3 linked regions of the Caenorhabditis elegans genome follow. The protein of the gene in region 1 interacts with the protein of each later gene in a pairwise test. Each region holds a gene or a part of one and is shown on either strand. Other genes may lie near its edges. The genes, in order: lin-56, set-14 and meg-4.

Region 1 (7,338 bases):
ACTCTAATCCAAATAATCTAGTTTTTAAAATATCTATCCTAAAATTTTAGTTCTATGGAATAGTCCAAAGTATCTTTCATCGATGACATCATGTTGTTAGTTTATACCAGTAATGTGACAGTGTAGGCCAAACAAGTGTGAAGGTCGAATGAAATTTCGCTATTATTTTTCATTTATATGTCTGTCAAACCATTTTCCATTTTGAACACTTTATTCCAATTTTAAGTAATCAATTTCTTTATTCTCTAGGAAAATGCTCACGTGAAAATTTAAAAGTGGAGAGTGTGTAAATTTAGAGTTTTCAAGCTTCCAATCGGCAAATATTTGCTTTAATTTCATTTTTATGCAGAGAGCGGAGGAGCACACATACTGTTCAGGTGCCAAGAGGTCGTATTTGCTGTCTTATCATATGGTTTGGTTTGGCGCCAGAAGGAGGTCGGATATCCGTTAACCTCTAAAGTTTCGATGGCATCAGTTGGTGTTCTAGCTTTCTAACTGATCAGGTGCCATTGCTCACGTGGCTCCTGGTGATCTTGATTCTATCATCACATAGTTGTCTTTAGAGTTAACTCCGATGTATTGGCTGAATATTGTAGAAAAAGTCCTTGATCTTCTCATGAATACATTCCTCACGATTCACAATCTGCAATAAACCACCAGCAATTAATATTATGGTTATCTAGTACATACGAAAGAATGACCTAGGTTCTTTGCACCCTGTAGAACCTGTTTTTCCGTATCTCTTCATCGTGATTTAATTTGATTCGTCGATCGGTTTCCCCCATGTTATCATAGTGTAAAACCATGATGAAGCCTAATCATGTGGTGTGCACTCATTTTCTTATCATTTTTGCAGAAAAAATGTTTGATGACGAGCCATTCTCGTGGCGTCACATTGACATGCTTCCAGTTGTTAAATTTTTTCGAACCAACTGACGTTGTTGATAGAAAATTCGCATATTTCTTGGAATCATATGTCCTATCTCAGTGCACATGGAACGTCTAAAGAATGTGAGAAAGAACGGCAGAAGCTCATGATTCGATGTTTTTTTCCCATCCAGTCTGGTCAACTGTGATATTCCATGAACAGTCACACGTCTGCTCGTTCTTTCGGCCTGTTTCTTCTGTTCCTCCGCCAAATCACTCGTCATTTGCGTCTTTCTTCTCATGACGACCACTGCATGGATGGCTTTAAATTGTTGGTAGCCAACATTTTTCTTCTTTTTTTTTCTCTGTTTTTCAACTCATTCGGTTAGAGTTTAAGATTCGTTGAGTTTGGCACGTTTTCTGCTTGCAATCGGATATCTGTGGAGTTTAAAACACATATGTTCTTTTCTTTGCAAATTTGCTTGAACTATTCTCAAGTTTTCTCAAAATAATATATTTATCACCTTCTAGTTTTACTGATACGTTTAGTCAGAAGCCTTTTAAAACTATATAATTCTGGGATTTTCTTTTATTACATTCATCCTTACTCAATTTTAATTGCTTCTTTATACTTTATTATTCTATTCTATGATTTTCAGAACTTTAATTTCCACTTTTTCAGCCGAAAAACTAATGTATCGAGTGCTTTTGAGTGGTGCTGCTGGCAGCGGAAAGGGAACAATTGCACGAATGCTCGTGCGAGAATTCGAACCCCTAGGATTCAATTATTTCGCTGCTGGAGACTTTATTCGCGATCATATTGCCAGAGGGACAGGTAAGCATTGATAATTTCTGCCATTTAAAAGAAAATTAGTTTAAAAAAACCATTAAAATTTTGCAGAATTCGGAGTTCGTGCACAATCGTTCCTCAACAAGGGCGAGCACGTTCCAGACAGTATTCTGAACGGAGCCATACTGGCGGAGATGCTTAAAGCAGGACCACGTGTCGTTCTCGACGGATATCCACGAAACATGAGCCAGCTGAAAATGGTTGAAGAGCAGGCGCCGTTGAATTTGATCGTTGAATTGAAGGTTTGTGTTTTTTGTTTTTGAAAAAAAACAAAAATTTTTAAAAGTGGGTTTTTGAAAAAAAAAACAATTTTTAAAAGTGGGTTTTTGAAATAAAATTAAACAAGAAACGAAAAAAAAACAAATATTTTTAAAGGTTCCTCGCAAAGTGCTCATCGATCGTTTGTCAAAGCAATTGGTGCATCCAGCATCCGGAAGAGCATACAATTTGGAAGTGAATCCACCAAAGGAGGAGGTCAGCCGATTTTAAAAAAATTAATTCCTGTTTTAATGAATTATTTACAGGGCAAAGACGATATCACGGGAGAGCCACTGTTCAAGCGAAGCACGGATCAGTTGGAGGTGGCAAGAAGGAGGCTTGAGGTTTACGATAAGACAGAAAACAAGGTGTTGGACTATTATAAGTGAGTTTTGTTTTTGAAAATCTATAAAAAATGTTGAAATGTTGAAAAAAAAACATAAAAATTCTTCGAAGCAATTATTTTGCCTCGGCGATTATTCCATTACGTAATAGGGTTTAAAAATTTCTCCTATTAACCATACACGAAATTTTGTAATTTTTAAACCAAAAACCGACAATTTTTAGTTGGATGCGAATTTTAACTGTAATAAACGTTCGTTTAATTTGTTTTTGCAAATAAATATTTATATTTTAAATGAAAAAATTCGAAAAATCAATGAAAATTCCGCTGCGGCTAAAGTTTGAAACTACAGTACTCCTTAAAGGCGCACACACATTTTTCCATTCAACATAAGTTTGTCCTGTCGAGACCGGGTACCGTATATTTCGCTCAAAATTCCACTTCTATGTAATATACATTTATGGGTAATCAAAAAATGTGACCGTTGTTCAGAAAATAATTCACTTTCAAGAAAATGAAGTATCCTTGTTGAAAACTTAGATGATCAAAAATTAGATTAGACTGCCTAATTTTCAAGATTGAAACCTCTGTCTTCAACAAACCTGTACCTTTTTTTCATAAAAGTAAGCTATTTTTTGAAAAAACGATCTCATTGACATTGTTTGAGAGCGTTATTGGCAAATAGCTAAATTTACTTAATTAACACTTTTCTCATTTCCAGGAAGCAAAACAAGTGCATCACAATGTCTGGTGAATCATCGAAAGCCGTATTCGAGTCGGTTGCCGAAGTGATGCGTCGTGATCTTTTGACGACAACTCCAAGAACTGCATACGCATAAGTTCTACACTGAATACTGTATCCTATTTCTCTAACCATCCAGACCTTTGAACACCCATTGAACCATTTGATTACGGGTTAGTCTCCCTAGAAAATCGAATTAATTCTGCTGTTTTTTCTTCTCTCTTCCTTTCTCCATGAACGCTTTATTTCGGTTTGCCCCATGTTTTCCCCTGTTATCCAACAATTTTCCTATATCTGAAAACGGATTTTTGAAATCCAATATTTCTTAAATTTTTTCTCGACACGACACACATGATTTTATACACATGATTTTTCATTTATTTGTTTTCTTATTTTCTTCTCTTCAAGTTATGGGTATTTTTGCGTGTAAATGAAAATCTTTTCATATTTCTAAAATTTGTTTTCAAGTTCTTCATTTGCGGATTTTGACCGTAGGCTTCATGTTTACAGGATAGAAGAGAAGACAGAGAGAGACGACTTTTTCGCTGAAAATACGGTACCTCGTCTCGACACGACAACTTCTCGATAACTGAACAATATAAAGACATTAATTTTTAACACATCGTGAGAATCGAAAAAATCGATAAAAATTGGGAATAAACGAGAGTTTCAACCTACAGTACTCTTTAAAGGCGCATACTTTTTCTCGTTAAACATAAATTAGTCGTGTCGAGACCAAGTACCAAATTTTTAACGAAAAATTGTAACATTTCGAGTCTGTAATATTTAAGGAAATAATGAATGTCCTCGCAAAAAATATGTTCAAGTAAAGAGAGTGCAAACGCGCTCTGTTGAAAATTCAAAAGAAATGGGAGACGCAGAGGAGAGAAACGAAATTTCCCGATTTCTCTCCTTCATTCGTTTAATTTACAATCTATATTGCAAAAAACTAGATATTTTGTGGCATTTTTACAATTAAAAAACCTTTAAAAAATGGATCACCATGCTATGTACCGAACCGCTGAATTCAACAAAACTACTGTCCGATTATTGGCGGAATTCATCGAAAAGACTGGGCAGAATGCGACGATAGTGAATATGGACAGCTTTTTGGAGTTCTTTGCGTATTTGAATCCCACGGCTCCAATTCCAACGGTTCCAGAAATTGTGAGTTTTATTTATTTTTTTTTTGCAGATTTTTTGCAGAGACTTGAAAAAGTAAATAGTTTTAATATTATAATTTAAAAACATGTATTTCAGGAAAAACAATTATTGCTAAAATCACCGATTCGTTGCATTGTGTGTGGAATGGAAACTGAATCAGATTCCGCAGTGACATTAAGCATCGATAATGCTTCAATTATTCTCACAGCGACAGTAATTGGTTACTGTAGAGATCCAAGTGATGCAGTTAATCAAATTCGAAAGGAGAGTCTTCGAGCATGCACGAAACATTTCAACAGTATTGTAAGTTTTAATTTAAATTGAAAAGGAAAAAATTAAAAAAAAAGATTTAATTCCAGTTCCATGTCATCTTCGAAGGACTGCAAATCGAGAACACCTACTGTGCTCATCATGCAAAATACAGTCTTGCCAATCGTTGGTGCAAAGTCTACACGATGATTCGAGTAAGTTATTTAATTGGAAATTTAATAAAGTTAAATTTAAAATAAAAATTTTCAGTCTTCCCTGGGCGAGCAGTTCACAAAGTTCGATGTGCGCAATTTTAAATCAATATTGCAATCATTTTTGGATACTTTTGGTGAAATTGATGACGACAAAAAGGATAAAGAATCTTCTCATTTTGATGAATGTTTTGAAGAAATGGATTCAGAAAACGTAGAAATTAAAATGGAGAGCCCACAAGAAGAAGCTGCAGAGAAATCGAAGTTTTCTGAAAACCTAGTGGAGGTAAAACTGGAACCAATTGAAACTCATGAACTTGACAAAACTATATCCGACTTTTCTTCAAGTGATATAATTGATTCGTCCCAAAAACTGCAGCAAAATGGTTTTCCTGAAAAAGTGGAGCAAATGGACAAATATAGCAACAAATTGAAAGATGAAGCTTCAGACAAAAAGTATGAAAAGCCAGGAAAAAAGGACTACGTTGAAGAAGAGGGATACTGGGCGCCGATCACCGACAGCGAGGATGATGAAGCCTGAATTTATTTAATCAAACGTTTTGGAAATTTTTTTTGTTTTTGTCAATAAAACCATATAACAATTTTCCTGCACAACCAATACATTGAATCGAATCTTTTAGCCTCCAGAGTGCACAAATCTATAAATTTTTCAGGACTTGTTGTAATTTCGCATGATTTTGATGTGCCTCTTAAAGGCGCCCGGATTTATCCAGATGAGTCTTGGCACGCAAAAAAGTTTTTGCCGTTTTTGATCCATTTTCTGTTAAAAATTATTTTAAATCAGTTTTCGCATTACAAAAACTATTTTTTTTCATCAAAAAATGTGTGATTTTCTGTTTGTCGGCCAGGAAATAAAAAGAAAGCAACACAATTCGCAAAAAACTATGTTTTTTCATTGAGAAATGCAAGGAGAATAAACTAGAAAGCTGCCACAAAAAATAATACCATCAACTTTTATCGTGCCGAGACCCATCTGGATGAATCCGTGCGCCTTTAATAAGAAATGTCAAAATCTTGTGAAATTACAATATATCTATTTTTTGCACAATTAATATTTTGTATCGAGTTATTTAGCGCTGGAAATGCCCGAGAAATATTTCAGATTTCCAAATGTTTTGTTTTATTGCAAAAAACACGAAGACTACTGAACGCGCACACAGCCGAACACCAAATTGTAAACGCGCTCCGCTGAGTGTGCCGAAAAAGTCGGTGGTCGTCGGTGCTTGGTAAATACGTATTGATTTTCCAATTGCCAGCCACGGCAACCGGGTTGCCGAATGACTTGACATGTTTCATCTTCAAACTTACTCTGCATTTATGAACAGGAATGTGGATCCAAAATCGTGGTGGCTCACCGAGAAGGTAATTGCCGAGTTGCCGTAACCTAGCAACCGGCAATTATACCCACATTCTCTCAATTCTTAGTTTTTCCTCACTTCATTTTTTCTGTAGATAAATATCTGAGTTTTCCTTTTATTATTTTAATTCTTTTTTCAGATGTCTAAAATTGCAAAGTTCTACGATGCTATAGAAGAAGGAAGATTTAGATGCAAAATTTGTAATTATATCGGAAAAAGAGGACAACAAGGTGATTTGGATTTAAAAAAACATTTTAGAGATCGACTTTCTGTAAATCTCTAGAGCAAAACCATATAGTTTCTGAATCTAAAAGCTACCGTAGTTTTTTTTTTTTTTAATTTCCATCAATTTCAGTATTTTTTCAGGTTCCACGTATCCACAGATCAAACATATGAAAAGGTTACATCCAAATGAGTTTGCAGAAGTTGACGGATCACAGCCTCCGCAAGTTACTCTCAATACAACTACTCCACCTACAGTACTCCCAGTGGCTCCAAAAGTGGAAAAAATGGAACTGAAAGCAGATGTAGGTATTCTTAATTATAGATACAATTGCAGTTCACATTAATCGGGCAAGATTCAATGAAAAATTAAATTATTCAGTGAGAAAAACAATGTTTAAAAAACGTTATTTTTTTCATCAAAGAATGTTTTAAAAATGTTCAACATTAAAAACAGCCAATTTTTATAAAAAATTTGGCATTTTACCAAAACTTTCAACTTTGGAAGTCGATCAAAAACATCGGTTTTTTCTAAAAATTTGTTGATTACGTTCCAAATACTTATTTTTAAATATGCAATAATTTTCTAAATTTTTATTTTTTATTTTTTTATTTTTTTAATTCCAAATTTTGTAAAAGTAAAGTATAAGTGGAATTTTGGCAATTTACCAAAACGTTAACTGAGATTAAAAAAACCCACATTTTAGACAAGGTGAAATTTATTTCTCAATTATTAAATTTTTCTATTTCAGATGCTTTGCCAGCCATCCGATGAGCAACTGCGATTCCACAATCAAACTACAAATTTAATAACGAGTTTTCTTCGAAAATGTGGATTACCTGCTAATCTTGTTAATAATGCTAGCTTCATCTCTGTCCTACGACATTTAAATCCATTGGTGATGATCCCGAGTGCGGATGTTGTGGTAAGTCAGATCAATGCACTTCAATGTAGATCTTCAACCAATGTTTTTTTTTCAGAATAAATTCATGGATAGTCATGCTCGTGATCCATTTCTCTCATCGACACAGCCTCCGTGTATCATATGTGG
Region 2 (8,062 bases), 340 kb from region 1:
TTAACTACGTGGCCGTGGAAGCAGAAAACTCGGCCACAATCATAGAATGGAAACATTTTCTTATATTTTATTCGTACGTAGGTAGACAGGCATGAAGCAGACAGATAACAAACAAGCCGGCAAGGTCCAAAATAGGCGTATAGGCACGTAGGTAGGCATGAAAGGAATGTAGGCAAGTAAGTACGCATACAGGTAGGCATGCGGTGGGCAAGTAGGTAGGTAGGTAGGATAGGTACTTAGGTTGGCATGATCTAGGCAAGTCAGGCGAGAAGCATATAGTAGGCGAATAGTTAGGCAGGTATGAAGTAGGCGTGTAGAAACATATATAGGCATAAGGTTTGAGTGTAGGCAGGCAGGCATGACGTAGGCGTCGAACTGTTTCCGTTTACCTATGCTCATTCCAAATGACAAGTGAGATCTCCCAGCTTCATAGAAATTCAGATCATTCCATCAGTAGTATAATCCCCATTGACTCGTTTATTATAAAAACTCAGAGACCACTAATAAATAAGATGCAAATCTCATTTTAAAATGCTCTTTTTCATTCCGTTTTTTTTCTTTTGATTCGAAGGGAAATATAATTATGGAAATGGCCGAGAAATGTATATAGTGTTGTAAAGGAGCAACTTTGTCTTAAATATAGAATTTACAATTAATATTAATTTCGGTGGCCTGAGACAAAATGTGATTATGAAAATGTTGAGCTTTCAATTCTATTAGCGCTGCACACGTTTCCATTTTTAGAACTCATTAAAAATCTCAAAAGCATTGAGAAGAGATAGAGAAAAAAGAAAACATCATCATCATCATCAACACATCCTGTAGAGTGCTTTTAAAAGGAAAGAAGAGAGGAAGAAAAATGTGAAAAAGAAGCGTCGAGAGCAACTTGTTGAGTGAGTGAGGGGGGCACAGAAGGATCACATCCAATTAGGATTGAATGAATGCTGTCGTACACACAAGAAAGTGGAATGGAACGATGAGTAGAATAAAAAAAGAAAAATGATGGAAAGGGATGCACTTGGGACACATTGCCGAAAAAAAAACGAATCGTTGCTATAATGTTCTTCCGCTAGTCTTCATAGATCCCGTTGCCAGGTGACCTCGTCTCCAAAAACTTTCTTAAATTTCGAAATCGGAGAATGTGTACTCCACGAGAAGAAGAGTGTGCGAAAATTGCAAATTTTGCAACCTCCGCACGGTTATGAGAATGAGAGCTCAATGAACCTTGCGGAGGTTGCAAAATCTGCAAGTTCCGCACGGTTATGTGGGTGTGGCCAATACCATCGTTTTCTATTCTCAATTTCTGTTATTACGTGGTAGTCTAAAGATGAAAGTTTTCGGGTCTCACCACGCTGAAATTGGGTTACTGTAACTGGACCAATATTGTGCCATTTTTAATATTATATTCAAATTCTTGACAGCAATTTTCGATTAAATCTGAAAATTATGATACTATGCTACCCGTAAATGGAGACGAGTTACAGTAACTCGGCGTGGCGAGACCTAAGATTTTACGAAATTTTCCCAATTTTGACGTCTACGTAATAATTCCCTCTATCCCAAAATTTGTTTTGTAACAGTACGGAAATTGTAATTTCCGTACGGTTTTATGGGAATCACAGTTTGAAAGTTTCAGTTCAAAAATCAAAATCTCATCTTCTAAGAGGCGGGGCGAAAACACCAAATTTGACGCGCAAGTTTGACTACATCATCAGGTCGCCACTTCTGCTCCAGTCAGAACCAACCACATTTTCTGAAAATAAATTACATCCGGTTCGGTCCGAAAACTAATATTAAATACAATTTTCATTCAATTCATCATCTTTTGGTTTTTTTTCTTTCTCATTTTGACCAACCCGCAAATATTATACGACACAGGGGGCTATATAGTCGTGCGCGACGAAACATTTTTCTTTCCCAAAAAAGGAATGAATTCTCATTTTATTTGATGAAGAGGCGGGAAGAAGCTCTCCGAACGTTGTGCTCTGTGTGGTCAACAAAAAAAGGTCGACGACACAGAAAAGGAATTTAATTAAATGGGGGACCCCGTCGTCGTGCATTTCTCAATTTTCTCCGTTTTTTTTTGCAATTAAAACGAGGAGGAGTGAGAAGAAACGAGTGGTGCTCGTTGAAATTTGAAAACGAAAATTAGACGAGGGAGTAGGTCAAAGGGAAATAAAAACAAAAACATCTGAAATGTGTAATTAAATTTCTAGAATTTTTTAGAATTCAATATTTTATGGATAGGTATGTACTATAGGGGTCGGCGGTATTATACAGTAACCCATACACGAATTTCACTTTTTTCAGTGTCTAGTGTTGAAGAAAAAAAATCAAAGTTCAAACAGAAAATCGACTTCATCAAAATTACAAAACATCCGATCAGAGAAAAAAAATTTTCTCTTTATTTCCCGCAGAAAACCTCCCAGCAAACTTTCACCACAAAAACCCTATTTTAAACTCCCTCCATTTTCAAGTCCGCAATTGCGCGTAGCTTTGCGTGTTTTGTCGTTGCGGACTTTGATTTTTCAAACAAAAATGTTTTTTCTTGGAACTTTTCGAACCTGTTTTCCACTTTAAAAAAGCGGTATTTTTCAATTCTTTCTTTATTTTAAATTTGAAAAACTTGTTTATTGCTTAAATTTTTAATTAAAAAGCATTTTATTTCGAAATTCAGGCCATGTTCTCGCATCTTAACCAAAATACATCCGGAAGGCATAACTCAATGGATCTCAACAATTCTAGTATTTCAAAGTGAGTAATTTGTTTCTTATTTTGCAAAAAAAAAACCAGTTTTTAATACTAAAAATCTAATTTTAGCTTCGGGACACCAGTTGAACAGTCTACGCCGGCACTTCTTTTCGGAAAGCGAAAGGCAACTGTTCCATCTTCGTGTAAGTAAAGTTTATCTTAAGTTTTCTCAAAAATATGATAATTATTTAGACACCGCTAGCCCGCTCAACACTGCATCGGCACCATGTTCGGATATTTTCGCTGTTTCTGCACCGGCAGTGCCGCAGCATTTGAAGGATACACCGGGCTCTAAATCAGTTCATTGGTCTCCATCTTTGGTGCAATCTGGTGAAAAGTCGGCGGCACAAACACAGAATACACCTGCCAACTTGTCTTTCGGAGGAAATTCATCATTTTCGGCGCCGACAAAGCCAGCTCCTCAGTCGATTCAGACATCATCTTTCGGTGGTCAAGCGATGCATGGTTAGAATTTACATTTTTTCGCGAATATTTAAAATAAAATTGATTTTCAGCACCACCTCTTCGATCTCTTCGCGACAAAGTTGAACCAGCGAAAAAGATCTCCAGACGAAATACATTCACTGCCAGATCAACACCACTTTCCACTCCAATCACTCAACGAGTCACATCCAGGTTGGCTGAAGCAGAAGAACAACCAATGGAAGAAGAAGCCGACGCAGCTGATACCTGGGTCACTGTTTTTGGATTTCAGCCAAGCCAAGTGTCGATTTTGTTGAATTTATTCTCGCGGCACGGGGAAGTAGTTAGTCATCAGACTCCATCAAAAGGAAACTTCATACATATGCGCTATTCGTGTGTCACACACGCTCAACAAGCTATTTCTCGAAACGGAACTCTCCTCGATCAGGATACATTTATTGGAGTCGTTCAGTGCACAAATAAGGTAAGTAAAAAGGATATATTTATTTTTTATTTTAATTTTAAAATTTACAGGACGTGATCAACGGCTCAGCATCCGGAATTGTTGCTCGATCATCTAACATTGCTGCAGCTGCAAACCGATCTGCTTCCATGTATAACTCATTTGTGGAGAACGATATGGCCGATCAATCAGTTAATCACAATGAGAACAGTGTGCTCAACTCGTCGAATGTTTTTGATGCAAATAACTCGCTCAAGTATGATTAGAAATTTTTAGTAAAAAATTCATAAAAATCTAAATTTTATACTTGAATCTGCTAAAGCGAAGTTTGTAGTTTGTAGTCTAGCGCTACTCCACTTTGAAAATGTGAAAAAGAAAAAGTTAATTTTTCACAATTCAATTAATATTTCCACAAAAAATTGTTTATGTTTTCAGTTCTTCTCGTATTTCCGTCCGTTCTGGTGTCGGAATGAGACCATTGGCTGCCGATCAAAGAACAAACGTAAGCATTTCATTGATTCAATCCTTCTAACCAATTAAAAAAGATTTTACAGGGAACCCCATCGGTTCGCAAGGCACCTGACGGATTGCTCAACAAGTTCTGGAACACGATCGGACTCAACTAATCTTTTTGCTCATTGGAAATATCGCCCATTTTTCTGTTTTATTTCACCATTTTTTTCTTTTGTTGTGTATCCTTCTTTTTCGAATTTCTGAAAACAGTTTCGTTTCTCACGGTTTTTCGTTCTCAAAATAATTTTATTTATTTCGGTGTATTCTCAATTTTCGGACATTTTTCCTTCCCTTCTTCCCGTCCATTCCATTCCCATTCAAAACTGATTCTATGAATTGAAATGAAGAAAACTCATATTTTTATATTGTCGATTATAGAAGACGAGTTGCTAATACTCGAAAAAAATATTTTTTCAAAAAATGAGGCTTTATTGACTGAAAAACATCGATTAAACAAATTCACTTCTATGAGTTTAAAGAAGGGCGCATTATTGCAGAATGGTCTCGGCACGAATGACATTGAAAATTGTGTGTGGGTGTGTGCCTTTAAAAATACTGTAGAGATTCTTTTATCGATTTTTCTCATTTTCTTCAATTTTTAATTTCAGAAAATTATTTACAATCGATGAAGTTTTTTTTAAATTTAATTTTTTTTATAAAATTTAATTTTAAAAAACCCGTTAAAAAAAAATTATTCAAATAATTCTTTCAGTTCCCAATGAATCTTCCCCCAGACGCCCTCCACGAAAATGTGTACGCATTTGCTCTTGCACGAGATCAAGTCGAATCATATTGTAATCAATGCCTTACGAGTATGGCAGAACTCAAAAAGTGCAGCGCCTGCCGACGGCTTGCTTATTGCTCACAAGAATGTCAAAGAGCTGACTGGAAGCTGCATAAAGTGGAGTGTAAAGCTATTAAAGTAGGAGATTTCATGGTTATATTACAATTTATTTCTAATATTTTCATATTTCAGACTCATAATGAAGTTGCGAACGACTCGATTCGACTCGTAATGAGAATTGCCGGAAAGTTGAGCAGAAACGAAGATGGAGAAATAGAAGCCTACTATATTCCGGGTGTTGCTCGCAATTTTCAAAATCTCGAGCATCATCCATCATCATATGACGCCGATGAAGAGTCTTTTGTAAAAGAATACTTTCAATTTGCGATAGCTCCCCATCCAGATCGAGATTTGATCAAATTGATATTCCAAAAAGTTTCGATAAATAGTTTTGTAGTTGGAAACTCCACGGGAAATCCAATCGGTGTTGGATTGTGCATTAAGCTGAGCGCAGCTAATCATTCCTGCAAACCATTGACTCGAGTTTGTTATAGGTAAATGCCATGAAATTTTTAGATTTTTAGGTTTTTGCCGACCGGCGCCGGTCTCGCCACGACAAGTTTCGGTTAAATTCAATTTTTCGTAGTTTCTAGGTATAAAATATAGTTATTTAATGTTTTTTAAACTTTTATAAAACGATAAAAAAACATAACAAATCGTGAGAGAAACTATGAAAATCCAATTTTACAGAAATCGTACCGCAATGCTGGTTCCAGTTTCAAGTGAACTTCCTTCAACACTGGAAGGTGCTTGTCATTCTTATATAGACGAACTAATGCCAAGAGATATGAGAAGAGATACATTAAAAGTAGGAGATTACAGGAGGTTCAACACACCCTGAAAAAAACCTCAAAATTTCCAGAAAAAATACAAATTCCTGTGCCAATGTGATGGTTGTCTTGATGAAGACCGAAACGCACGAATGGAAGCCTGGACTTGCGGGATTTGTGTGAAAGGATGGATGAGAAACAAGGAAAATGGTCAATGTGAACTGTGTGGCTGGACAATGAGCAAGGATCATTTTGAATTGTGTCGAACGGCAGAGGAAGCTGGCATCGCCGCACGTTCGAGACTTGCGAATGATGCGATTCCGTTGGAGACGAAGAGAAATTTGTGTGAAAAATTGTTAGATCTATTTCAAGACACGTTACATGATCATAATGTTCATCGTATTCCTGTGCTCAGATGTTTGTATATTTGCTCATTGGCGGCACAGAAGTAAGAATTTCTAACTGTTAAAAAATGTAGAGAATTTTTTAGAAATTATTAAAGATTTTTCAATTTTCCCAAAAAAAAAAATTAAAAAATTGGCTTATCATTTTGTACATATTTTTTTTAAAAACAACGAAAAACAAAAATAAAATAAATATTCGATTTTCCGAAAAATCAAATAAAAATTCAAAAAATTAAGCATAAAATGTGATTTTCATCTAATTTTGTTTATATTGATGAGAAAAAACATAAAAATATATTCTTAAGCTAATTTTAAAAAAACCGAAAAAAAACGAAATATCGGATAATCGAGAATTTTTCGATTTTCGATTTAAAAAAAAATCGAAAAACCGACATATAACTGTTAAAAAAAATTTATAGAATTTTTCGAAAATTTTTTTCTTCGATTTCCCATGAATGACATAATTTCGGCATTTTTGCGGTTTCTAGCTAAATTCGTCAGTTTTTCTTGTTCTTTACATGAATATTTGATTCTAAAAACCATTTCTAAAATTTTCAGACAATTTTTCATAAAGAACACTTCAAAATTGGTGTAAAAATCGTTAATTTGACATGTATTCATAATTATTTTTGTGGAAAAATGTCCGAGAAATTGAGAAATCTTGCTTAAAATCAATAACCAAAGAACAAACACCTTACTTTTACTTTTACATCCATTTGAAAATTTTTCAAAAAATTGACAAAAAATCGTAACAAATCTGGAGAAAATTTATAAATTTTTACAGCTATATTTCTACTGCTTTCTGTTTTTTTTTTCTAAAAAAAACTACATTTTTACGCTTCTAAACCAATAAATATTAACTGAATTACAAAAAATTCCACCAAAAAACATTTGTTTTCTTTCAGTATCACAGCCGCTGCCAAAACCGGCGGAACCCTTCTCTCCATCATGCTCGTCTACCAAAACACCACTGATCCGGCGATCTTATTCCAAAAATATCAACTTGCCCAACTATTTTGCGCTGCCGGAGCAAAGACACAGGCGACCAAATTGCTCCAAGAAATTGAAGAACCACTGGAAAAGATTTATACACCTGATTCAATGATTTGTAGAAACGTGTATTGTATGATTCTAAAAGCTCGAAATTTATCCTAAAATGTGTATCATAATGTGTATTTTTACAAATTTCAGCAATTTTTCCTTATTTTTTGTTATGCAAAATATTATTTATTACCTCATCTTTTCTCCCCAACTCTCTATAATATTCTTGTATATTTCGGTTGTGAATTCCCAAATTTGACATGTTTTATTGCCATCATCTTCCCTTTTTGTTCAATGATTTTCCCGTTTTCTGAAAATTTAATCAAACTCGGTAATTAATGTTTGAATTGATGATTTACGCAATTTTTCTACTTTTGTTACATTAAATGTTGGCAACCACATTAAAAATACTTTAAAAACGCCAAATTCCTCTAAAACTTTAGAAAAAATTCAGAATGACGGAATTCGGGTGGCGTCGATTCAATTTTTTCGATCGATCAGTGGTATTCGACAAGGATGATCCAAAGCAGAAATTTATGGGTTTGAAAGATGTGGCAGTTGATTGTTGGTGCAGTTCTGGAGGATCTGTGTATCTTGGAGAAGCCAAGGGCGGCGTTTTTCAGTACGTTTTTTTTTGAATTAAAAAAACAAAAATTCTGTAAAAAATTCCATTTCTGCCGAAAAAAACCAAGGAAATTCCAGTTTTGCCAAAAAAAAATCTGTTTCTGCCGAAAAAACTAAAAATTCCAGTTCTGAAATGAAAAAAGCTGAAATTTTTTTTTTCAAAATTCAAATTTTGCCAAAAAAAACCAAAAAAAAATATTTCCAAAACTAAAAAATTCAATTTTTACTT
Region 3 (8,676 bases), on another chromosome or scaffold:
CCACACGAATGGTGCCAGAATGACCGAATATAATAATGTAAAACTTTTCACAAAAAAAGTTTGAAAGTTGTCAAAAAATGACAGTTACTCAGTTGATAAATTGGAATTGCTGGTAAAGCCAACCGACAGCCGACCGACAAATTTTCGTCTGATAGAAAATTTATAGGATAGTAAAAATTTTAGCAGAGCTCGCTGTACCAGCTGAAAGCCGAAAAAATCAGTCAGCCGCACACTCCTATTCAATTTTTTTTTTTGTTTGTTTTAAGTTCAAATTCCACTCGGATTTCAATGGTTACTTAACTGTTATTTTACGTTCTCGGTGAAAACATTGTAAATGAGAAGCAAGAATGAGATACCATTGAATGAAAAACAAAAAATTAAAACAAAAAAGTGAGCAATAAGTGTTGTATATTTACGTATCATGATAAAAAATTCAAAAAAATTTTCTAGATTTTATATGATTTTTTTGAAAATTGCAAAAATCTCAGTTTTCCCCTAATTCCTATTTGAATTTCCGCCAATTGAATTCGTTCGCTGGAGCACACTTGCATTATTTTTATTAATTTATTATATTGTTTCTCATTATTTCACTGATTTTCTTCATTCTTTGTGTATTTTTATCGGAAAAAGAGAGAAAAATTCAAGATAAATGCAAATTATTTATTTAAAAATCACTGAAAATGGGTAAAACTGTAAAATTATGAGTTCCGACGATAGCAAGCCTGAAATTAGCTTATTTCACAGTTTCACCCATTCTCAGTTATTTTTAAATAAATAATTTGCATTTATCTTCTCTCTTGTTTTCCGATAAAAATACACAAAGAATGAAGAAAATCAGTGTAATAATGAGAAAAAATAAAATAAATTAATAAAAATAATGCAAGTGCGCTCCAGCGAACGAATTCATTCGGCGGAAATTCGAATAGGAATTAGAGGAAAACTGAGATTTTTGCAATTTTCAAAAAATCATATGAAATCTAGAAAATTTTTTATCATGATATTCGGTCATTGTGGTAACATAGGCGTGTTTTAAAACAATTTCCCCATTTCGAATTTGAACTCATTATAAATACTTGCTTGGCAGTTTGGGAATTTTGGTTACAACGCATATAGAGACTTTGGAAAAGTCTCAATATTTTATAAGAAAAGCCACTCTAGAGAGATCAATTGAAAATAAAAAATAAAAAAGATCCTTTGTATGCTGCTTGCAGCTTCTCCGGCGATCGATTTCATATAATTCATTAGTGACTAGGGGTGGCAAGAGTGCGACCTAGGTCGCTAGGTCGCTGTTTTCATTTAGGTCGCATTGCGACCTGCGACCTAGCGACCTGCGACCTAGCGATCTGGGTTGCATTGCGACCTGCGACCTAGCGACCTGGGTCGCATTGCGACCTGCGACCTAGCGACCTAGGTCGCATTGCGACCTGAATTACCGACATTTTGTTCTCTTTCGGTTTTGATTCACTTGAGTTGTTAAAATCCGTATAACTCGAAAACTGCATTGCGACCTGAATTACCGACAATTTTTATACTAACAAATTGCTACAAATCATTTATTTTACATTGTTTTCGATTTCTCATCCATAAGACACCTTGTCGAAAAAAGTTAGAACAGCCGACATCCGCCGGATTTGCTGCTTTTTTCTACGTTTTTAATTCGAAAAGTGGAAAATGAAATTTTAGAAACAACAAAAACCACAAAAACGTGAACTTTTTGAAAAAATTTGCTGAAATGCATGGTTTTATTTGTAGAAATGAATTCTTTGTTCCGTACTTTTGAAAAAAAACTACGCATAAACTTATAAAATCTTAATAGAGAAAATGTTAGTGGAATATATCATACATATTCTGCAATCTTTAGTTTTCGAGTTATACGGATTTTAACAACTCAAGTGAATCAAAACCGAAAGAGAACAAAATGTCGGTAATTCAGGTCGCGATGCGACCTAGGTCGCTAGGTCGCAGGTCGCAAAGCGACCCAGGTCGCTAGGTCGCAGGTCGCAAAGCGACCCAGGTCGCTAGGTCGCAGGTCGCAATGCGACCTAGGTCGCGATGCGACCTAACCCTCTAGGTCGCAGGTCGACCTAGGTCGACCTATAGCCACCCCTATTAGTGACTCATGCTTCCGGGGGGTGCATGGCTCAGTGCCTATGCGCGCTGCTTGCAATCACAAGGTCACAAGTTCGACCCCCACCTCCTAGGTCCTTCCAGCCTTAAATGGGAATTCAGTGTTCGTTCCACTGTCTTACAGCTTACATACGGCATTTATCCAGGCAAGACCTGTAGAAAAAAACCAAAAAAAAAAAAAAAAAAAAATTTTGCCACGTGGGGCAACCTGGCAGTATTTAATGATTTCATTTTGGTATTGAAACATGAGACAGTCTAGAAAATTAATTGGCAGAAGTTATCGACCACAGTCCTCAAGATTTTCATTTGATCCCACGTGGCAAACTGTTTGAGTTTTCTTCATTTTTTCTTTGTGTCATAATTTGAAATTTTACTTGCCACATTTTCAGACATTTTTCCGTAAAGAAAATTGGCTGCTCACTTGGAAACGCTGAAATTAGTCTAAAAATCGATAATTCAGTATTAATTTTAACTTACTTTACTGAAACATTACTGAAAAATGTATGAAACTGTGAAAAATTAAAGTTTTAAGTTTTAAATCAAAGAAAATATTAAGAAAAATGTCAAAGATCAGGTCAATAATTTGCGCTGGAATTGAAAAATAATTCGGCCCTTTTTTTTTGCAAAATTGAAAAAAATCATAAAATTTCAAAGAAAATGTTCGGAATTTTTTTACAGTTTTATTCGATATTTACATTGAAACTCTATTTTGTCATTAAGGTACAAAAAACCCACAAACGCTACTCCACCTTTAAACTAACAAGTACACGGAACCAAAGATTTTTCCTTATTTTTCTTCTTCTCGTGTTTTATTCAGTGATTATCTTTCCGGTCACCAATATTCCAGAGAATTAACTATCAATATCCGACTTTTTACTCAACTGTTCCTCAAACCTCCAATACTCTTGAAAAACAGCCGGTACCATACAAACGTTTTGTGTTGTTTTGGTAATACCCCTGCCGCATTTTAACTGTGTTTTTGCCGCGCGCATGCATTCCCCTGACCGTTTCCCCACACACTATTTCGCGCTCTCTTTCTCTACCTCTCTCACTCTCTCACTTCTCGCACTCACTCACTCACAGGTCTCCATTCTTGCTTTTTGGTCCCACCGGTTTTCATTAATTCCTCTCTCCCTCATTATTTTCTTTACATTTTTACATTTTTACATTTTGTAATATTTCATTAAGTTTTTTTTGTTGCAGGTATGAGTTCTTCAAAGCTTTCCTCATGTGATCTGCCAAACTCCAGAGGAAACAGAGAAGGTAAGCATTTTTTAAATCAATTTTTTTCTTCAATTTGTAATTTCAGGTCACCGCTCTCATAGTCGAAGCAATTTGGAAAGTGCATCGAAAAATATGGGACACCACATTAGTATTGAAGAATTGTTTTATTCGTTCGTAAAGCAAGACGGTGTTCAGTCAACAAGCCGTGGATATGGTGGCAGATCTCACCACGGATCCGTGTCTTTTAACGGGAATCCTTCCATGAACGGCGACCAGTTGAATCACTCGATTAATCAATCGATGAATGCAGCTCGAGCTAACAGAAACGTCTTCAACTCATCGAGCATTCCTCCAACGGCCCCCGTGTTCTCTGCAGACTTCCGTCAAAACTCGCAGACACGCAATAACTCCAGCTGGAATCAACGGAACTTGTCAGTTTCCACTTATCAGTACAACACTCAGCAGTCAAATACAGGGCACAGTAGAAGCCGTCCGAATGGACAACTTGGCCGAAGCTTCTCGGATGGATCGAACAATCATGGCCATGCTGGGAATGTGTCATTCAGTGGGAGTTCCGTTCCAGCTGGGTTCCAGAAACAAGAAACCAAGGCTTACCAACAACTTCATGGAAATAAAAGCTTCAACGCTCAAGCTGGAGTTCAAGCTCCTGGAGATCACAAGGACAAGAGATATGGAGGCATGTTTGGAAATGAGCTTATCAATTCGATCAATTCTAGTTTTGGCCAACAGCATGATGTCTTCAAGCCGCGGAATTTGAACCAGAGCTTTTCCGGATTTACTATTAATGAAGCTTTAACAAGGAAGCATCATCAAGAAGGATCAAGAAACGATAGAAGAAGATCACATGGGAGCACTAATGTCCAGGATCGTGCTTTCTACAACACAGATGACAATGAACTGTCTGACGACGTGTTCATAGAAGATTCCAATGGTGTTGCAAACGGTCCAAAATCTGTCACTAACAAATCTCAACAACAGTCTCGCGGAACGAAGGATGCTGGCAGTCAAGTGGCGGAGAAACTGAACTCTTCCAGAGGAGCTGCTCAACGTAATCTGAAATCCAATGTGTTCAGCAAGGACGGCACCGAACTTTCTGTGGAACAGTTACTGGAAATTGTCAGCATGAAGATCGGACAACACTTGCACTCAGCTTCCAGTTCTCACGGAGAATGCAGCAATTTGAATCGGACATTACCAGCTAGAAGTGATCTAAATTGCTCAATTGGTGAAGACTTCGACTCCAGTTTTCTGGATGTAAACAATCGAACCCTGCCAGAAAATCTTTCGAAGAAAACTTCAGTGCAGAAACATCGTCGTGGAAGTTCTCGTAGTGCGTCCCGTCTCGCCAGTCTTGACGTGACGCTGGAGACTGTAGAAGAAGATGTCGAACCCACACCAAGTCCACATCCGAGTTCTCCTCCAAAGATCTCAAGAAGAAAGTGGACAGGAACTTTTGATGCCAACGTTGAGGAAATGAGACGTTTACTTCATGGGGACCCTGGGAAGCCGAAATCTACAAAACGTGCTTTCTCAAGGTATGTAGTGATAAAAAGTGAAGTATTTAGTAAAAGTTTGAATTTCAGCAAGGATCAGAGAACACCTTCCTTGTCAATCATCACAAGCCCGAAGGCTTTGATCGGAGAAAAATGTCTGACAGCATCCAACAAGTTAGTTTTACACTTGGAGCTGCTTTTTTCATTATGTTTGTATTGCAGGTCTTCAAAGATTGACAAGTCACTTGGCATGATTGATTCGAAACTCACAAAGTCACCAATGTACTCCGCCACGGTTTCTGGGAAGGAAGCAACTTCAGGAAACCGAATCGCTCGAAAGTTGACTCCAGGGCTTGATGGACTGAAAAGGTATGGAACTACAAAGAACAAACAACATTTTTAAATGTTCTTTTCCAGCTCTCATTGTACCGGAAATCCAGTTTCCATAGATTGTAATGGTTGCCCAACTCCGAAAAGAAGTGGAATCAATTGTGATAATCGTATGGCTGAAGTGAACAACCAAGCCGGGAGATGGTCCTCTGAAGCCACCAGGTAAGGCCCAAATCAATAAATTCGCAATGAGTTTCGTATTATATAAATTTCTGAATTCTCAAAAAATCGTGGATCAAACATATGGAAAATAATGTGCAAGTTGAGTAGATTGAGGTCAAGACTAGACCTCTCGAGTAAAAAAATAGAGCATTAATCTTGCACAACTCCGCAAAAAGCCCTCTGCTTTTGTCTATTGCCCAGAAGGTGTGCGGCAAATTTGTACGGTTTTGCCGAAACAACTTTGCCGAATTAGCCTAATTTGCCGTTTGCCGAGCTCAGACAATTTTGATCAAAGCTATGGATTTTGTCGCCAAAAATTTAGTAGTGCTCGGCAACTTTTGAGATTTTCCACACATCCCTGGAGCCCAGTCTAATCACTTGATATTATAATTACTAAACGGTGAATTGCGAGCCCGCTAATAAATTTAATTTCCTCAGAATATATAAATTTTTGCCGCACAGCTTGATTCGATTTCTGTAACATACTTTCCAAGTACAATTAATTTTTTTTTCAGTCAGCCTGCCCCACTCCCTTGCAAGTCAGCCAACCCGACCGAAGATTCTTCTCAAGATGCACCTCCAACTTCACCACCACCTCGTATTTCTGATAGCTTGACGGCATTCCTGGAAGCTCAACAAGACTTCAATGATTATATTGATGCTCACTACAAAGAGAAGACACAACTCTTGAAAGTGAATTTGAATATTCACGGGATGTCACCTGAAAGATGGCTGTACTTGAATTATTTTTGCACCGAGACAATTCCAAGATTGGATGGTCCTTATGCCGATGGTAAGAAAGATAAGACATATTTAATCTTGAAAAACGTAAATTTTTTCAGATCCAAGGGTTCCACCTGTGCGAAATATATTCAGAAGATGGTTTCTCCGGTTTGCTGAAGCCTGCTTAGGAAATCCAAATGACCTTGCAGTTCAGAAAGATATTGCTCTCGAGTTCGTTCAGGCTCGGCTTGACGATACGAGCAGCTCCACAGATTCCACCAATATGCTCTACATGTTGTGGAAGGAGTGTATCGGACAGAAGAATATCATCTCAATTGCTGATGCGTGTCTCCTTGTATATCTTCGGAAATCGGATCCTGTCAGATACTTGAATGCAAAACGAGAATGGCTGGAATCTATTTTTGACCCACCCAGAGATCAATGATTGTACTGATATATATCTATTTCATGTCGAGTATTTTGTATTTTATTCTTGTTCATTGACCTTTTAACCACTCTTTTTATACTCCAACTTGCTCCTTCTTGTGAATTTATTTATGGTCTGCCCAGGAACTTGTAACGGGTAGTTTTCTATTGTTATCAGGACTGCTGCTCATTCAAAATTCAAAGTTGAATTTCAATAAAGCGAATGTTTGAAATAGGTATATAATTGGCAACTGATTAGTAGAAATATGTCTCTTCTTTGGCTTTTTGTAAAAGTTAGGCAAAAAAGTGGTCACGGATTCAATTTCAAAAGCGATGCTTCAGACTTATCCGCTACGATAGCGAAGGTTCCGTTTGTACTGAAAAACACAGTAGAGGAAATTGGTATAGGCGCGTATAAATAGAATTCTAGTAGTTGACTCTGAAATATAAAAAGTTATTAACAATCCAAATTGGCAATTACTGATTATAAGGATAGGAATGTTAAGTTTTCTTAATACTACTAGATACTACCCTCTACATTTTTATTGATAGGCATGCCTACTTGCCTGCCTAACTTCATTTGAAGGTCTTCTCTTTGAACGTCCACTTGCGCCATTTCCCGCCTTAAACTTGTTGTGTTTTCCTTGGATGGCTATTTGACTAGCGATTTCAGCTTTCAAGAATGAAAACAATGTTAAGTGCTGGCCTTAGATATCCAGTGTTTCCTGTGAAATTTCATTTCAGTGGCAGCATGCCAGACCAAATCCAAAAAAACCAAAGGGGAAATTGTTAAAAACTACTCCTATGATCCCAAAATGACAAATTATCATAGTCAAAATTTTCTAGAATATCGCTTACATCCGAAGCCTAAGCCTACGCCAAGGCCTAAGCCAAATCATAGGCCTACGCATAGGCCTAAGCCTAAGCCTGATGAAATAAAACAGTATAGTTTCATTTAAATGAAACACCAGAACCATCAAAAACACTTGATTTTTTTTCAAATTTTTTTTAAACTAAAATATTTTTAAAGTTCGAAGGAAAACTGTTTAGCATCTTTTTCTTTTTGTGTGTCACTCTACATTAATATAAAATTTTATTGCAGTCCGCTACACACTTTTTCATTGTTTTTGTTTCTCTGCTCCTCTACTTTCTTATCAAAATTTTTTCCCGGAGGTATCATTTGGTCTTCCTGCGGCGGCTTGTGTGGCTGGCACCACCATTTTTTTCTGGATTAAAACAAATTAAAAAAATTTATGTATTGTATGTGTGGTGAGTTTTAAAGTTATATTAGTTTCAAGAAGCTAATTTTCATTACTTTCAGAAATTTAATTTCTGCTATCCGCACCCCGAATGTCTACAAAAAATCTTCTGACTCAAGATGGTAAATTGGTGAGTTTTTGTATCAAAAAAGTTTCGAAAACCTTCAGAAATTAATTTCAGAGTAAGAATCGGCAAGTCGAGGAGAAAAATATCTTTAATGCAAATCCCACATTGTAAGTGCTTTTCTCGAAAATCTATAATAACATGGAATAAGGTTATGGAATAATGTATACATTAGATACATAGTAGCGTCCTATAAAAATACCAAACTGCCAAAAAATATTAAAAATTTTGAAACTTCGGTCTAATTAAAAGATATCAAGCAGATAAACGCTTAAGATTAGCCCAAAACTGAAACATTTCAATTTTGAACAATCGTTAGCTAATTAAAAACTACAAGCATTAAACCGACTCCAAAATACCATTAAAAAAGCTCACGAGAATTGCGCCAGTAGCCTTCTTGGATCATTTCCAAGTAGGAGCCTATGTCATAATAATACTATATTTTCAGAGTGAATAAAATTGTCTGCGACCTCGAATCATTCTGAGACTTTTGCGAAGTCAACAAGGACATGAACATTTATGATAATTTCGACGGAATGGCATTTGACTGATAATTGTTTATATAACTGTTTCATTTTTCATATCCTTTATTATATTTCCCCTCCCCCCTTTATTCAATGTTCCCATTTTTCAACTATTCCTTTACTTTCCACTTTCTGAATTTCTTGTTTCATGTTTCAAATCCCGATTCTCATTGCCTAATCCCACAAGTTTTAAAATAAACTTG

The links.
Region 2: the proteins of lin-56 (region 1) and set-14 interact in a two-hybrid assay, tested with the Caenorhabditis elegans proteins (one large-scale study listed by BioGRID).
Region 3: the proteins of lin-56 (region 1) and meg-4 interact in a two-hybrid assay, tested with the Caenorhabditis elegans proteins (one large-scale study listed by BioGRID).

The regions. Positions count from the first base shown.
Region 1 is NC_003280.10:10,446,717-10,454,054, forward strand, and holds lin-56 (Protein lin-56), read left to right. Parts: upstream 1-3,290; 5' UTR 3,291-4,053; coding exon 4,054-4,227; intron 4,228-4,320; coding exon 4,321-4,527; intron 4,528-4,583; coding exon 4,584-4,688; intron 4,689-4,743; coding exon 4,744-5,226; 3' UTR 5,227-5,289; downstream 5,290-7,338. Other genes in the region: putative adenylate kinase isoenzyme ZK673.2, read left to right, coding at 1,561-1,702, 1,769-1,959, 2,093-2,191, 2,242-2,360, 3,040-3,157; ZK673.4 (uncharacterized protein), read left to right, coding at 6,204-6,294, 6,431-6,591, 7,039-7,212, 7,268-7,338. UniProt on the Caenorhabditis elegans protein: Required for translation, stability and/or localization of lin-15a.
Region 2 is NC_003280.10:10,793,095-10,801,156, reverse strand, and holds set-14 (SET domain-containing protein 14), read left to right. Parts: upstream 1-4,862; 5' UTR 4,863-4,868; coding exon 4,869-5,072; intron 5,073-5,126; coding exon 5,127-5,488; intron 5,489-5,684; coding exon 5,685-5,802; intron 5,803-5,856; coding exon 5,857-6,212; intron 6,213-7,073; coding exon 7,074-7,323; 3' UTR 7,324-7,562; downstream 7,563-8,062. Other genes in the region: npp-19 (Nucleoporin NUP35), read left to right, coding at 2,681-2,754, 2,821-2,894, 2,944-3,216, 3,267-3,658, 3,709-3,893, 4,073-4,139, 4,183-4,263; vps-11 (Vacuolar protein sorting-associated protein 11 homolog), read left to right, coding at 7,665-7,831.
Region 3 is NC_003284.9:1,679,624-1,688,299, forward strand, and holds meg-4 (J domain-containing protein), read left to right. Parts: upstream 1-3,330; 5' UTR 3,331-3,332; coding exon 3,333-3,390; intron 3,391-3,436; coding exon 3,437-4,907; intron 4,908-4,955; coding exon 4,956-5,039; intron 5,040-5,087; coding exon 5,088-5,234; intron 5,235-5,282; coding exon 5,283-5,417; intron 5,418-5,932; coding exon 5,933-6,210; intron 6,211-6,259; coding exon 6,260-6,585; 3' UTR 6,586-6,796; downstream 6,797-8,676. Other genes in the region: C36C9.11 (Transposase), read left to right, coding at 7,917-7,955, 8,007-8,059, 8,398-8,434.